Oryzias latipes: one gene and its partner. The protein of the gene in region 2 binds, or shares a complex with, the protein of the main gene of each other region. Links are inferred from orthologs where the notes say so. Each region holds a gene or a part of one and is shown on either strand. Other genes may lie near its edges.

Region 1 (4,531 bases), on a different chromosome or scaffold from region 2:
TCTAAAGTTTTCATCATAGGTGCATTTCCACAGTGAGAGACAGAATCTGAAGAAACATTCAAACATTCAGAAATCACTTTGTACGATTTAAAAAAAAATGTATTTGTATATTACTGTGACAAATAAGTATTTGATCACTTGATTATCAGATTTTCTGACCAGCAAAGACCTGCTGTTCTGCTTTTAAATAGTCCAACTCCACTCTGCTCATAATTCTAAATTATTGGCACCTGTTTGAGGTGGTTAGCTTCCATAAAGGCACCTGTGCCCCCCACAATCAGTCAGAAGTCTAACTACCAACATGGGCAAAACCAAAGAGCTGTCAAAAGAAACGAGACAAAATTGTAGACCTTCACAAAGCTGGAAATGGCTATGGGGCAATTGCCAAGCAGCTTGGTGAGAAAAGAACAACTGTTGGAGCAATTGTCAGAAAATGGAAGAGGCTAATGATGACTGACAATGTCCCTCGGACTGAGGCCCCTTGCAAGATCTCACCTCATGGGGTATCGATGATGCTAAGGAAGGTGAAGAATCAGCCCAGGACTAAAGGGGAGGAGCTGGTCAATGACCCGAAGAGAGCTGGGACCACCGTTTCCAAGGCTACTATAAGTAATACATTAAAACGTCATGGTTTAAAATCATGTATCGCACGGAAGGTTCCCCTGCTGAAGTCAGCCCATGTCAAGGCCCGTCTGAAGTTTGCCAATGACCATCTTGATGAGCCAGAGGAGTCATGGGAAAAAGTCTTGTGGTCAGATGAGACCAAAATAAAACTTTATTGATCTTAACTCCATTCGGCGTGTTTGGAGGAGGAAGAAGGAGGAGCATCATCCCAAGAACACCATACCTACAGTGAAGCACGGGGGTGGAAGCATCATGCTCTGGGGGTGTTTTTCTGCAGAGGGGACAGGACGACTGCACTGTATTAAGGAGAGGATGAACGTGGCTCTGTATTGTGATATATTGGGCAAAAACCTCCTTACCTCAGTCAGAGCGTTGAAGATGGGTCGTGGCTGGGTCTTTCAGCAGGACAATGACCCGAAGCACACAGCCAAGAAAACCAAGGAGTGGCTCCGTAAGAAGCATATCAAGGTTCTGGAGTGGCTTAGCCAGTCTCCAGACCTAAATCCAATAGAGAATCTTTGGAGGGAGCTGAAACGCCGTGTGTCTCAGCAACAGCCCCGAACCCTGACAGATCTAGAGAAGATCTGTATGGAGGAGTGGGCCAAAATCCCTGCTGCAGTGTGTAGAAACCTAGTGAAGAACTACAAGAACCGTTTAACCTCTGTAATTGTTAACAAAGGCTTCTGTACCAAATATTAAAGTTGTTTAACTCAAGTGATCAAATACTTATTTGTCACAGTAATATACAAATAAATTGTTTAAAAAAATTGTACAACGTGATTTCTGAATATTTCCTCAGATTCTGTCTCTCACTGTGGAAATGCACCCATGATGAAGATTTTAGACCCCTCCATCTTTTCTTAGTGGGAGAACTTGATAAATCACAGGGTGATCAAATACTTATTGACCTCACTGTATATAATTCCACATGTGTTAATTCATAGTTGTGATGCCTTCAGTTTGAATCTACAATTTTCATAGTCATGACAATAAAGAAAACTCTTTGAATGAGAAGATCTGTCCAAACTTTTGGTCTGTACTGTATGTATGTATGTACACTTGCTATATATAAAAAAATGAATAAACAAAGTAAACATGACTGAATTAAGAACTATAGACCTAAGCTGGAGAGCAGACGTTCTATGCATGTGCAGGTTCGCAGTAGTGGTAACAGTCAGAAAACGTAGTGCTCACTTTCTGTTCCTCCACATCCTCCTCTGTGTCCTCTCCTTCTGTCGGCTGCTTCCTTTTGGAAGAGGGGAGCAGGCTGTCATATGAAGCCCTGCACAACACAAATATTTATGATTTGTTTCAACATCCCTGCATCAGCATGCACAAAGATCAATGCACAACTTTAAGGGATGGAGAAAGTGATTTTTATCCAGAACTACATCTGGATTCTAACAAACTAGTCACATAGCATAGTTTCTGACTGATTAGCCATTAGCTACAGACTATGTTTCTCTAACCGGCTCCATACAAATATTATTGGGGTTTTGTATTTTCCGTGGATGAATGTTGTGCTACCTGCAAGTTTCTCTGGTTTCCTCGATCTCCTTTAATTCATCCTTGCTGTGAAGGACAGCTCCAATGCTGTCAGCGCTTTCTGCCCCCAACTGTGGGAGTATATTGAAGAATCAGACTGTTTTTGAGGACAACAATGCAAGCAAGCAATGCCAAATGCGTAGCTAACTCATAATTAACCATTATGGAGATGTAAACACTATTAGAAGAGTGATTCAGAGTGGATACAAATATAGAAAGTGTGTTTCTTCGACTTAAACTATGATTATGTTAGCTGACTGTAGCTGTTTGCTATAACAACAGCGACTCTGTGTGTACTTGCCTGTTGGGCTAACAGTTGCCGCCTTAGTTTTTGCCTCTCGCGGATCTCTTGCAGCCTACTGTTCATATTTCCCCTCGTGGCAATTTGTCACAGAAGATTAAAAACCGCGTGGGTTTGTTTTTATTCGGAATAGATTAAGTATTTCATTTAGCATGGAAAGCAACATGCAAGCAGTAGCTAGCTGGCTCTCAGAGAGAAAGCCGCTAAAATATATTTAAAGGGTACGCTCGATATTAACCTCGTCACATCCGAACCAAGTTGAGTTTGTCTAAGTCGTAACGGACGTTGGTGAAATTTTATTTATTTTGTAATGTCGGTGCTCAATTGTAGCTAATTTACCTTAAACCTTTAATATAAATGAATTAAGCTGTAGCGTTGAGCGCATACAGACATTGAAATGCACGAGAACCGGAGCACGCCGGTGAATTTACGATTTAGCAAAATTGTAACTGGTCGCGTAATGATGGCGTCATCTTCAGAACGCATGTGTTTGACGTTTAGAGTTTGCACAACAAGCTGGTGCAGCATTCTATGATCCACTGTGATCTTTTTCCCCATCTGAGGCCTTTATATGGATCATATTGATTAGCTAAGCATGCCCCTATAATTAACCAGGGTATATCATTTTTTTAAATCAAAGATTAATATATAAGAACTTATAACCTTTTCTGAAAAACGTTTTTAATGGTGTTTGTGGAGGGGTGCAGCGAAGGGGGTAGGCTAGGAAATCCGATATGGCCACTCGTGGAATACCATTGGCTACCTTTGCCCCGAGATATATACATTACTGATGGATGTTCAAATCCATCAAGCTATGCTTTTTCCAAATGTGGACTAACACTCACATACTGGTTCAGGGTATTTTTAATTTACGATCAGGACCAGCTTTACCCTTTATTCTCATTTAATTTTTTCAGGGGTTGCTTCAGTAGGCTAAATCACCCACCTCTATTCTACCAAGACTAACACACCAACTACTCTCCATTATTTCTGTGGACCTCCTCTTGATCTGCCCTTAAGCCTCATTCCTGCCAGCTCTAACATCAGCATCCTTGAAAGGATGCTGAATACATCTACACATTCACAATCTGGCTTCCCTGCATTTATCTCCAAATGATCCTACATGAGTTGTTCCTTTGATGGATTTATCCACGATCATCCATCTTCATCACTCCTAAAGAGAACCTCAACATCTTCATCCCTAACACATCCAGCTCTCTTGACTTTCTCAGTGCCCCTAACTGTAGAATACATTGCCATTTCCATTCAATTTTCAATTAAACACAATATTTGTAATCAGAACAGTCAACCAATGAAAGATCTTTTTAAGGGTAAGCCTATATGAAATAAATATTTATAAATTGGAAAATAAAAATCAATAACGTGATTTTTGAATTGACATACAAAATATTAATTGATCATTCAGAATTACAGTAGTAATATATTTCAACTTCAAAATATGTTTTTTGTTGTTGTTGAAAGCTTGGATTATTGAGCATTTTGGATGTTTCAAATTCATACATTTTTTTTAAATTAGTGATGGAACATTTTCATTCTAAAAAACGATTTTAATTGCCACTGATACCCAATTTCTGTAAAATCTGCAGCCAAAATGGAGAAAAAAAAGGAGAAATAGCTATAAAAAGACTCACTTTGTGTGTACAATTTAATTAAATTTATTGAAAAACTTCAACTGAGCATTAGAATTTTTAGAACCTGTGCATTTACCATTTTAACCACCTAGTCTTTATCAAGATTTTCTAAGACAATGCAACCCAGTTTAGCCATCCCAGTAAAAAAAATACAAATAAATAATAATAATGATAAATGAATGGGAAAAATAGGTCCGGCACGTGTCACTGTCATTGTGGGGCTTGGAGTTAATCACTGTGGATCCAGCTCCTGCAAATGAACCCAAAAACTACTGGAATTTAAACTCTTGGATGTGTCCTGCAGCTCAACTGTGATCCACGTGTGACGATAAACAAATACATTTATAAAAATGTGGTTAACTTGCATTTCATGCCAAAGCTGATTATGCATTCCTGCACAAATGCAAAA
Region 2 (3,808 bases):
GAGGTGGAGCTGCTGGCCAATGCACTGCCCGGGCGAGAGATGATGTCATCAGTGTGCACTTCCTTGTTGGAGGTTTTAGGCAATAAAGAGAGCAGCGTCCCGCTCCTCCTCACCTGCATCAGGACTCTAACTTTCCTCACTGAGCATAACTATGGAATCTACCACCTCAAAGTGTAATTTCACATTTTTCCGTTATTTTTATTTCAGGTTGAATATCTGCTTTTACTTAACATCATATCTACCTTTTTTTTCCTTTAGTGCTTTGAAGAAACATAGTAGTGAGGTGTTCTCACTGCTCAAAAGACTGATTTCAAGCTTCAGCAAGGATTCAGCAGATTTGCTTTCTGCTCTGCTTGACTTTCTCAGGCAGATTGTCAACACAGAAACAATGGTAGGTGCATCTTTTAAATCTGCTTTATTTTGAAGTTTTTTTAATAAGATAAACATCCTGCACAAGCCTGAAACACGCATTTACGTGCATTAAGATAGACCTTTCATTGGAAGTGGTTGCATAGACACATGTTTCAGAAGACACTGTGAATGTAGCTAAAGATTTGTTGTCAGAGAAAGAAGTGATAACACCTTTTTTCAGTAACTATTTACTTTTTACGTGGCATGTTTTGTTTTAGATTCTAAAATATTTTTTTCTTTGGAAACAGTGTGTTGAGGAGGGTCAGGGCTCCAGCGAGGAGCCTGTTTTTGTTCATCCACGACTGATGTCGCCTTCTGAGATGAAAGCTCTGCTGCAGTGGGAGGAGTCTGAGTCTCATCCAATATCTTCTTTGGAGAAATTATTAACTGTAAATATATTTCCAATCTCAATTTTTGTAACTTTTTTTGAAATTTTATTTTTATAAATGTTTATTGCGTTTTGGTTTTTAACGGTGTGTTTGTGCCCATAGAAACTTTGTAAAGAAGACGATTCCATGGAAACCATGTTGGAAAATGTGATTGTTCTGAGGCAGACGCTGGAGGTGGCTTCAGACACAGCTCCAGTGGTTGAAACTGAGCCCATTCTGCCTCCTCCTGAGACACTTGCAGCTCAGTTTAACCACAGGTTTGCATAAAATGGCCCTTAATTACAAAGATATCAGTTTTTTATTTTTACCAGTTGTTTTCTTAATTTTTTTTCTAAATAATTTTGCCATTTTTAGGAAAACTATTAGCTTATAATGACAAAAAGTTGCATAAATGCACATTATTACAATACAATAGACACAATTGATTGTTAAGAACTTCCTATTTCCATCTGCAGGACAGTGTTCATTCTGTCTGAGGCACTGGATGAGCAGCTGAAGGCTCTGTGGTTTTCTCCTTTCCAAACAGATGACATAGAAACTGATCTTGACATGGTATGTTTGTCTCTCTGTCTGCAATCTTCAGACATGCTCTCTTTTCTGTCATAATTACGGTCACCTTTGAAGGAGTAACATATCTTTGCTTTTAAACACGTAAAATAAACCTCACAATTTATTATTTTTTCTAAAAATAAATAAAGATTTTCCTTTTTTCATCTTGCAGACGAAAGAACTTTCACACATTCTTGTGCTTCTTTTTCCTGTGTTGCAGGTCAAAGTGGACCTGGTTGCTTTGGCACAGGAATGTTGTCCAGAACTCGACCTGAAAGCTGAGTTGGAGCGCTCCTTCCTGTCTGAGCCGTCTTCCCCGGGTCACACTAAGGCTACGAAAGGCTTCCGACTTGGCAAACACAAACACGAGACCTTCATCACATCGAGGTACAACTTGAGCCTGACATGAATTTTCATATGACCGAGTATCTTGTATTTAAATTTATATTTTGTTTTGCTTGTTTCTCAGTGGTAAATCCGACTATGTTGAACCTGCCAAAAGGGCTCACATCATGCCTGCCCCTCGTGGTCGTGGGGGTCGGGGAGGGTTTGGACAAAACATGTCACGGCCCCATGATATTTTCCGTCTAAGGAAACAAAATACATCCCGTCCTCCCAGCATGCATGTGGACGACTTTGTTGCAGCGGAGTTTAAAGACATTACCACCCCGCTCGGACTTCTACCCAACAAACGTCTCCCCAAGAGCCTCCCCAAGCCTCCCACCAGAGGTCTGTTCACTGGGAATAGAGGCAGAGCCACCTTCCACAACCAGACGCGCTTTTTTACTCCACCACAGCCAAAAGCTGTTCTGCTATCAGGTAAATACCCACAATCCTTAGTGAAACGGGTCACATGGGTGATGTGCAAAGGTTTCATTTTTTTTTTTGATGGTTGGCCTGTAGAGGATGATGATTGACTTCTTTGGGTTTCAGTAGGTAACTACACTCGGAGGGAAGGAGGCCGTGGTTCCTCGTGGAGTGGTCAGGTTCCAACAATCACCCACAGAGGAACCTACAGTGAACCCCGCGGAGGGCAGAGCAACTTCGCCCGAGGACCTTTGCCTTCCCGACAACCCCCTGCAAGTATGTAGAGCTAACATGTTTCCATCATTGCTTTTAACCTGCAGTACTAAAGTTAAAACTCTTTTAAAAACATTTTTTAAGGTGCTTATCGTCTGGCTATTCGTGATCGAGCTCCACGGGGCAGAGGAGGCGCCGGATTGTCCTGGCTTAGCGGGGGAGGAGGTGCTGGGAACGCTGGTGGAGTTGGAGGAGGTGGAAGAGGATCTCAGGGGAGCAAATTCAGTGGTGGGGGAGGAAGCGGAGGTGGGAGGGGCAGGCATGTGCGATCCTTCACCAGGTGAACTCACCTGGTTGAAAACTTCAGCTTCTTCTGACTGGAAATGGACCAACCAGATGGGATGTCTGCCATCTCCATGGAAACATGCTTACGTGATGTTGTAATACAGACTATTGATGTTTTATGTTTTGTTATCATGAGGCGTGTTTAGAGAATAAAGGCAGTTGTAACTCTTTGTGTGTTTTAAAGAAAACACCAAATCATGGGATTGGTGGTGGTGAATTTTTTAAAGCCTGTTTGATGGGTCGATGCTTCTGAAGACAGAAATGCTCATGATTCAAAGACTTCATAAAAACACAACTTTATTTTTTAACTAATTTATTTTACAACATACAAAATTGCCTTAATTCTTATATATGTATTCAGATGACCGTCACCTCCCGACTTTTCCTTTTGATGCATTGGAGAGTCAAACTGCGGGGGCCTTTTCGCAGCCCGTCCCCCAGCTGAGGTGAGGAGTGGCCGGCGCAGTTGGGAGGTGAGGCCAGGGACAGACTGGAGGCATGTAAAGGAGTCTCTCCCGGCTGGCGAGTCCGGTCCCTGCAGGGTGTCTGCTCATCTTCCTGGAGCTGGCTCTTGACTGACGGCTCTGCCGATTGTTGATTCTTCGTGAACTGCAGGTCTCGGAGAAGCTCCAACAGTTCCCTCTTCTCAAGCTCTGCCTCTGCTAACTCCTGCCTCCTCAGGCGCTCTGCTCCCAACACAGCGTGCATGTCACACATCACACGGGATATCTGACCCTGCAGAAGAAAAACTGTTCACATCAGGGATTCAAACACTTAAAAGAGGAACTTAAACCCCAAAAATGTATTACAGATTCTAAAATGACAAAGGACACACTCCTCAAGTAAGAGATTTGCATTAAATGCATTTATATGACGCATCTTAAAAATTTGTTTTCCATTTTGTCATCCAAAAAAACATTAGGAATTATATTATAAAAGTAATATTTGTTGTGTCGTGCTTACGTAATTTCTTAAGAAATTCAGATTTTGAAGGCTGTTTTTTTCTTTAAGTGATGAGAGCAATAACAGCACTTTGGATTCTAATAAAAAAAATCCTAAAGAGTTTAAATGTGTATAATTGTGGCTTATAAGAA

What was found. Proteins that work in one complex are often made in the same cells at the same time.
Region 1: virma (region 2) and mettl14 share a complex: the UniProt entries of both Homo sapiens proteins name them as parts of the WMM complex. The link is inferred for Oryzias latipes from reciprocal best matches to the Homo sapiens genes VIRMA and METTL14.

What each region holds. Positions count from the first base shown.
Region 1 is NC_019859.2:14,173,162-14,177,692, reverse strand, and holds the start of mettl14 (N6-adenosine-methyltransferase non-catalytic subunit), read right to left. Parts: upstream 2,934-4,531; 5' UTR 2,537-2,933; coding exon 2,471-2,536; intron 2,241-2,470; coding exon 2,152-2,240; intron 1,907-2,151; coding exon 1,819-1,906; intron 1-1,818. UniProt on the Homo sapiens protein: The METTL3-METTL14 heterodimer forms a N6-methyltransferase complex that methylates adenosine residues at the N(6) position of some mRNAs and regulates the circadian clock, differentiation of embryonic stem cells and cortical neurogenesis.
Region 2 is NC_019874.2:17,760,170-17,763,977, reverse strand, and holds the end of virma (protein virilizer homolog), read left to right. Parts: coding exon 1-173; intron 174-258; coding exon 259-391; intron 392-659; coding exon 660-800; intron 801-902; coding exon 903-1,057; intron 1,058-1,255; coding exon 1,256-1,352; intron 1,353-1,569; coding exon 1,570-1,736; intron 1,737-1,818; coding exon 1,819-2,168; intron 2,169-2,282; coding exon 2,283-2,432; intron 2,433-2,513; coding exon 2,514-2,713; 3' UTR 2,714-2,917; downstream 2,918-3,808. Other genes in the region: RING finger protein 151-like, read right to left, coding at 3,072-3,449. UniProt on the Homo sapiens protein: Associated component of the WMM complex, a complex that mediates N6-methyladenosine (m6A) methylation of RNAs, a modification that plays a role in the efficiency of mRNA splicing and RNA processing.